2 linked regions of the Oryctolagus cuniculus genome follow. The protein of the gene in region 2 purifies or fractionates together with the protein of the main gene of each other region. This does not show direct contact. Links are inferred from orthologs where the notes say so. Each region holds a gene or a part of one and is shown on either strand. Other genes may lie near its edges.

Region 1 (3,817 bases), on a different chromosome or scaffold from region 2:
CCCAGTCTTCAACTAGAATATAAGAGCAAGAGCTTGAAAACAAATGCTTGGCTGAAGATGAATAAAGTATCTTTTGAGAGTGATTCTTTGACTTAGCAATTAATATTTTAATAAATATAATCCACTTTTTTAAAGATTTACTTTTATTTATTTGAAAGTCAGAGTTACAGAGACAGAAGGAGAGGCAGAGAGGTCTTCCTTCTTCCAGTTCACTCCCCAGATGGCCGCATCGGCTGTGGCTGGACCAAGCCGAAGCAAGTAGCTTCTTCTGGGTCTCTCCTGTGGGTACAGGGGCCTGAGAACTTAGGCCATCAGCAGGGAGCTGGAGTGGAGGTGGAGCAACCAGGACTTCATTTCTCATTTGGGCTTTCATCTCCCTTACTGACTTTCCCGTCTCTAGTCTAGTGTCTCCCTCTAATTTAGCCTAAATATCACTCAGAATAATCTTCCCAACTGGCAAACATGAGCATATCACATTTCTGGGTTACCCTTCTAGGGTTACCCTTCAGTTACTGGCTTAATGGACCCTTGTGATGGTTTACAAGAAATTAAAAGAGAGAGATTATTTGAAAGACAAAGTAAAAGAGGAAGAGACAGAGACCTTCCATCTACTGGTTCATTTCCTCAAATAATCTGCAACAGATAACATGCTAAAGCCAAGAGCCAAGAGCCAAGAGCTCCATCCAGGTTTCCCATGTGGGTGGCAGAAACCCAAGTATTAGCCTTCAACCACTGCTCCCCAGGTGCATTAGCAAGAAGCTGGATCAGAAGCACCGTGGCACAGATTAATCCTCCACCTGCGGCACCGGCATGCCATGTGGGCACCAGTTCTAGTCCCGGCTGCCCCTCTTCCAATCCAGCTCTCTGCTGTGCCCTGGGAAAGCAGTGGAGGATGGCACATGCATTTGGGCCCCTGCACCCACATGGGAGACCGGGAGGAAGCGCCCAGCTCCTGGCTTCAGATCAGCACAGCTCCAAGTCATTGTGGCCATCTGGGGAGTGAACCAATAGAAGGAAGGCCTTTCTCTCTCTCTCTCTCCCTCTCACTGTCTGTAACTCTACCTCTCAAATAAATAAAATCTTTAAAAAAAAAAAAAAAAAAAAGTGGAGTAGCCAGGACTTGAAGCAGGCTCTCCATATTGGAATTCAGGCATCCCTTAACTCGCTGCACACAACTTTCACCTCTCCAAGTCCTTCTGTGATTCTTCTCTGCCTACCTTTCCTGCTATTGACCACAGCGCTCTCAATATTACAGTCATACTTAACTGTTTAACATTTCTTAACAGTTTGTTTCACAACTTCATTTGTGATGGTTCCTCTGCTTTATCCAATCTCATCAGCTAGGCTAATTCTTATTCACTGATCAAGATTCAGCATAAGTTACAAGTTACAGCACAGTTACAAGTTATCCCTGACTCCCCAGTGATACAAAGTTAGATTCCTCTCCTTTGCTCCCATTTCATAATGAACATAACTATATTACAGCACTTATCCTGTGGGAACTATATTTGTATGTTTACAACTGTATCACCTCCCAAGTAAGAGTTTATTGAGGAAAAGGAACATTTGTTATGCATCTTTGTTTTCCATATCTAGAACATCATTTTATAGAATACTCTAAATACTTCCTCCACAAAAGACTATGTTCAACTTACAAGAAGCCACTCCTCTAAGTCTAGAATGTTTCCTGTACTTTCTGACCAAATCCATGAAAAAAATATCATACCCATCCCATTTTTTAGTGGTGAAATGGCCTCCATATTCTCCCTGGGAACTCGTAGGGCATTGGTATCTATGTAGTAGGTGGGCCCGCCTTGTTTGCCTTTATCACCGTCTATTTCCATCAATGTGCTTCCATCATCTCTTTCCATCACCATACCAATAGCCGTTGGGAAATCCACCTGTAAGGGCCAAAAACATGATATGCAAGTTTCACCAGCTTTTATCAAGGAGCCAAGTTTTTTTTCAGCTAATGTCTTTAACCATTTTGTGTTGAATCAAATATCTTCATAAATTTAATGCTACACAAATGGCCCTTATACAAATACTCACTTGACTCTAATATTACATTACCTTGGGGCAATCTTCACCAGCATAACCAGCTCTCACAGTATAGGACCCAATGTCAAAAACAAGTGCGCCAACTTCATCTGAGAAGATTAAAAATAATTAACATTAACAACTTACACGTATCATGAAAATTAAAGGAATACTTAATGAGCTTAAAGGGAGAATATATGTAAAAGCTCTATGAAAAATTACAATAGTATTAGTTTGAACCTAGTTTTAAATGCATCTCAAAGATTCATTTACTTAAAATATAACAATTTATACGTTGTGTATTAGCAGAGGTTCAAAGAGAAGGAACTGCTACCAGAACCTGGTGAAAAGGTTCTAGAAGATGGGCTAACCTGTCAGTAGCTGTGAGCATCAGTTGCGGGCTGCAGTTACTTCTGAACACAAAAGGGGGTCTCATTAATAATTACTACTCTACCACTGGCTACATCCACGGAAAAGCCAAAGGCCAAGAGGGCTCAATGACCTGGACTCTAAGTGTCAGTCTTCACAGAGGCGAAATGGTGGAAAGTAGAGATAGTGGCCCAAAGGGAAGGAGTGAAGTTCATGTAAGTATCAATTTATCATAAATTAACAGAAATTGTACTTCATGTAATCAGGAAACTCCAGGAAAAATAGGGACTTGGAGAATAAAGAGTTTAATGTAATAGCCAAAAAAATCATCAAAATGAAAGTATTATCAAAGTCTGCATATTTCAAGATTATTAGGAGATAAAGTTTAATGCTGAAGAAGAAAGCTGGCAACTATTTGTCCATTTCCAAATTCAGAGAAAAGCTTCTAATTATACTTTTAAAATACTTCATCCAAAATAGGACTCCTAAAACAAAGCACCTTGGTTTTCAGGTCCTGACTTTTCAAAGGATTCAAGTATTTAAAAATAATAAATATTATTTACCTCATTAAATTGGCAAAAATTATTAAGTCTGGTAAGACCCAGTACTATCAAGGACTCAAGGGAAACAGGAGCTCTTACACATTTGCTAGTATAAGCTATAAACTGGTAAAACACTATATGTTATTAAGTTATATCCACTAAAGTTAAGAAACTACATACTTAGTGGTTATACTTAAATCTATTTGAGGGGCCGGTGCTGTGGGACAGCAGGTTAAAGCCCCAGCCTGCAGCACAGGCATCCCATAAGGGCAGCAGTTTGAGTCTCAACTGCTCCTCTTCCATGCTCTCTGCTATGGCCTGGGATAGCAGCAGCAGATGGCCCAACTCCTTGGGCCCCTGCACCTATGTGGGAGACCCAGAAGCTCCTGGCTCCTGATCAGCTCAGCTCTAGCTGTTGCAGTCATTTGAGGAGTGAACCAATAGAATGGAAGATATCTCTCTATCTCGCTCTGTAACTCTTTCAAATAAAATAATTCTTTTAAAAAAAAGTGTTCCAGGGTGAGTGTTAAAAAAAAATCTGAGAAACTGTCACATGTCACAAGAACAGACACAAGAATGTTCTCTAGCTATGTGAACTTGGGCAATTTATTAACCTCTGTGACTCAGTTTACTAATTTTTTTTTAAAGATTTATTTATTTGAAAGTCAGAGTTAAACAGAGAGAGGAGAGGCAGAGAGAGGCAGAGAGAGGCAGAGAGAGAGAGGTCTTCCATTTGCTGGTTCACTCCCCAATTGGCCACAATGGCCGGAGCTGCGCTGATCCAAAGCCAGGAGCCAGGAGCCTCTTCCAGGTCTCCCATGTGGGTACAGGGGCTCAAGGACTTGGGCCATCTTCCACTGCTTTCT
Region 2 (3,817 bases):
GAGAGGCTCCTGGGGACAGATTGGAATCAGATACCAGAGAACAGAAGACGTAGGGAGAAAGATGAGGATCTTAACAAGAGAAAACTGGCAACTCTTTACTTAGTATAGAGTTGGTCTTCTGTGTATAAAGTTATTTGGAGAATGGGACTGGGAATGGGAGAGGGAGGAGAGGTGGGAATGTTGGGGGGAAGGTGGGTATGGTGGGAAAAAAATCACTATATTCCTAAAGCTGTACTTATGAAATGCATGAAGTTTGTATTCCTTAAATAAAAGGTTTCTTTCGGAAAATAAATAAATAAATAAATTGTTGTGCACGGTTTAAAAAAAAAAGAGAGGGAGAAAACTGGCACTGTAGAAATGGGGCTGATATGGAGCGTTCTGGGCCTGATGAAGAAGAGAGTAGGAATTCAGAAAGTCCAAGGGAACCAGGAATCCCCTGCACCTTATAGGCTTTGGTAACTACTCGGCGCTTCCGCCTTGGCTCTTCGGCTTCTCCATCACTGGATGGCTCATCCCCTTCATCGATGTCAAAGTCAGAATCCACCTCGTCTTCTGTGTCTGACTGGTCCCCTTGATATTCATCATCTCCCGACTCCTGAGGACACAAGGAGGCGAGGGCTTACTGGGAGCAGACTCGTTAATGCCCCTGCACGCACGAGGAACAGAATTTCTTCACCTTCCTGATAAGGGCTGCCTCACTCTCCTTCCCAACCGAGCTATTCTTTCCTTTTAGGGGAGAAGCCTTCCTAGCCAACCTCTGGTTCTACTGGCACGCCCCTGCAACATCCACAGACAGCCCTCTACCCGCAGAACACTGTGGTAAGTACTGCGGAACAAGAGCATACGGTTTGGTTCCTACCTTCAGTGGGTTCACAGTCTAGTGAAGGACAGGACACAATCAGAAGTTTTAATACACGGCAACACATAAAGTACAACACGGCAACTATGGCAAATCAGAGGAAGGCATATTTGCTACCAGTTGGTGGTGGGAAACGGTCTAAACTTTAATCTTTTAGACCACAAATCAGGAAACTTTTTTCTATAAAGGGCCAGATTAAAACAGGTAGCACAGGAGTAGGTGTAAAGCTGCCATCTGTGATGCTGGCATCCCACATGGATACTGTTTCAAGTTCTGGCTGCTCCACTTCTGATTTAGATCCCTGCTAATGTGCCTGGGAAACCACAGGAGGATGGCCCGAGTGTTTGGACCCTTACATCCATGAGGGAGACCCAGATGAAGCTCTGGGCTTCAGCCTGGCTCAGCCCTAGTCATTGTGCCCATATGCAGAATGAACCAGTATAGATGGAAGATCTCTTCTCTCATTCTCTGTCTCTCCCTCTCTTTCTGTAACTCTTTCAAAATAAGTCTTTAAAAAACAAACAACAACAAAACAGTGGGCCAGATCTGGGGCACAGGTTTTAGTCTGGTGGATAACACTTTAGAATCCAAAAAATGAAAAACAAAAAGTTGGGACCAGCATTGTGATGTAACAGGTAAAGCCACCACCTGCAGTGCCGCCATCCCATATGGGCACTGGTTCGAGTCCTAGCTGCTCCACTTCTGATCCAGCTCTCTGCTATGGCCTGGGAAAGCAATAGAAGATTGCCCAGGTCCTTGGGCCCCTGCACGCACGTGGGAGACCCAGAAGTTCCTGGATCCTGGCTTTGGATCGGCGCAGCTCCAGCTGTTGCGGCCAACTGGGGAGTGAACCATCAAATGGAAGACCTCTCTTTCTCTCTCTCTCTGCCTCTCCTCTCTGTGTAACTCCGACTTTCAAATAAATAAATAAATCTTTTTTAAAAAATAAAGTTTTTATTTTTAAGATTTATTTATTTGAAAGTCGGAGTTACACAGAGAGAGGAGAGGCAGGGAGAGAGAGGTCTTCCATCTGCTGGTTCACTCCCCAGTTGGCCGCAACAGCTGGAACTGTGCCGATCCGAAGCCGGGAGCCAGGAGCTTATTCTGGGTCTCCCACATGGGTACAGGGTCCCAAGGACTTGGGCCATCTTCTACTGCTTTCTCAGGCCATAACAGAGAGCTGGATCAGAAGTGGAGCAGCTAGGAATTGAACTGGCGCCCATATAGGATGCTGGCACTTCAGGCCAGGGCGTTAACACGCTTCACCACAGTGCCGTACCCAAATAAATAAATCTTAAAAAACAACAACAACAACAACAACAACAACAACAGGAAGGAAGGAAGGAAGGAAGGAAGGAAGGAAGGAAGGAAGGAAGGAAGGAAAGAAGGTTGGTTGGTTGGTTTATCTCTGGCAAGAAGCCACCTTTCCACATTGACTATCCTGTAATTGTCCCACTTTGACTATAAGATTTGAAAAGAAGGTTATACTTTGTCTCTGCAGAGGTTTACAATTTCAGGATAATAAACTTTCAGTTTTAAACTGAGGGCCAGGGGCTGGCACTGTGGCACAGTGGGTTAAAGCCCTGGCCTGAGGCGCCGGCATCCCATATGGGCGCTGGTTCTAATCCCGGCTGCTCCTCTTCTGATCCAGCCCTCTGCTATGGCCTGCGATAGCAGTGGAGGATGGCCCAAGTCCTTGGGCCCCTGCACCCACATGGGAGACCTGGAAGAAGCTCCTGGCTTCAGATTGCTGTAGCTCTGGCCGTTGCAGCCATCTGGGGAGTGAATCGGCTGATAGAAGACCTCTCTCTCTGTCTCTACCTCTCTCTGTAACTGTCTTTCAAATAAATAAAATAAATCTTTTTTTTTTTTTGACAGGCAGAGTGGACAGTGAAAGAGAGATAAAGAGAGAAAGGTCTTCCTTCCTTTTCCATTGATTCACCCTCCGATGGCCGCTGTGGCCGTGTGCTGCGGCCAGCTCACCACACTCATCTGAAGCTAGGAGCCAGGTGCTTCTCCTGGTCTCCCATGCGGGTGCAGGGCCCAAGGACTTGGGCCACCTCCACTGCACTCCCAGGGCACAGCAGAGAGCTGGCCTGGAAGAGGGGCAACCAGGACAGAATCCGGCGCCCCAACCAGGACTAGAACCTGGTGTGCCGGCACCGCAGGCAGAGGATTAGCCTATTGAGCCTCGGTGCCGGCCTAAAATAAATCTTAAAAACAAAACAAAACAAAAAAAAACACCTGAGGGCCAATGATTTTCAACTACCTCCTCCTTACTTGTCCCAGCATGATAATCACTGTTGAGGTAAAGTTACTGAGAAAAATAGGTAGAAGGGTAAAAAGTACGTACAAAGTATATTTAAGAAAGTTACAGAGCTCAGTTTGATGAGCTGGAGTAGAAAATCTGAAGCGTTAGCTCTAATGTAATATACATTAGGGCTAGAATGGCAGCCACCTTGGAAAGAAAGTGGGGAAAAAGCCCAAACACTTTAGGAAAGAGGAGTCGACTGGGCTCAACACCTCAGACTTGCAGCTCTTTCTCCAATCAGTGATGCAGATTTGTCCATTAATCAACAAATGGGGGGCTGGCGCTGTGGCGTAATGGGTAAAGCTGCTGCCTGCAGTGCCGGCATCCCATTTGGGCTCTGGTTCGAGTCCTGCCTGCTCCACTTCCAATCCAGCTCTCTGCTATGGCCTGGGAAAGCAGAAGACAGCTTGAGTTCTTGGGCCCCTGTACCCATGGTGGGGGACCCAGAGGAAGCTCCTGGCTTCAGATCGGTGTAGCTCCGGCCATTCCAGCCAATTGGGGAGTGAACCAGTGGATGGAAGTCCTCTCTCTGCCTCGCCTTCTCTCTGTGTGTAACTCTGAGTTTCAAATAAATAAATAAATCTTTAAAAAAAGTCAACAAATGGTTGACACTCCAAGCCAGCCAGAATTCAATCTTGCACTCACAA

The links.
Region 1: the proteins of VPS72 (region 2) and ACTL6A purify together in Homo sapiens (affinity purification with mass spectrometry; 3 studies listed by BioGRID and IntAct, with this or other methods). This does not show direct contact. The link is inferred for Oryctolagus cuniculus from reciprocal best matches to the Homo sapiens genes VPS72 and ACTL6A.

Annotation. Positions count from the first base shown.
Region 1 is NC_091435.1:100,239,525-100,243,341, forward strand, and holds part of ACTL6A (actin-like protein 6A), read right to left. Parts: intron 2,151-3,817; coding exon 2,074-2,150; intron 1,902-2,073; coding exon 1,727-1,901; intron 13-1,726; coding exon 1-12.
Region 2 is NC_091438.1:46,923,237-46,927,053, reverse strand, and holds part of VPS72 (vacuolar protein sorting-associated protein 72 homolog), read right to left. Parts: intron 596-3,817; coding exon 443-595; intron 10-442; coding exon 1-9. UniProt on the Homo sapiens protein: Deposition-and-exchange histone chaperone specific for H2AZ1, specifically chaperones H2AZ1 and deposits it into nucleosomes.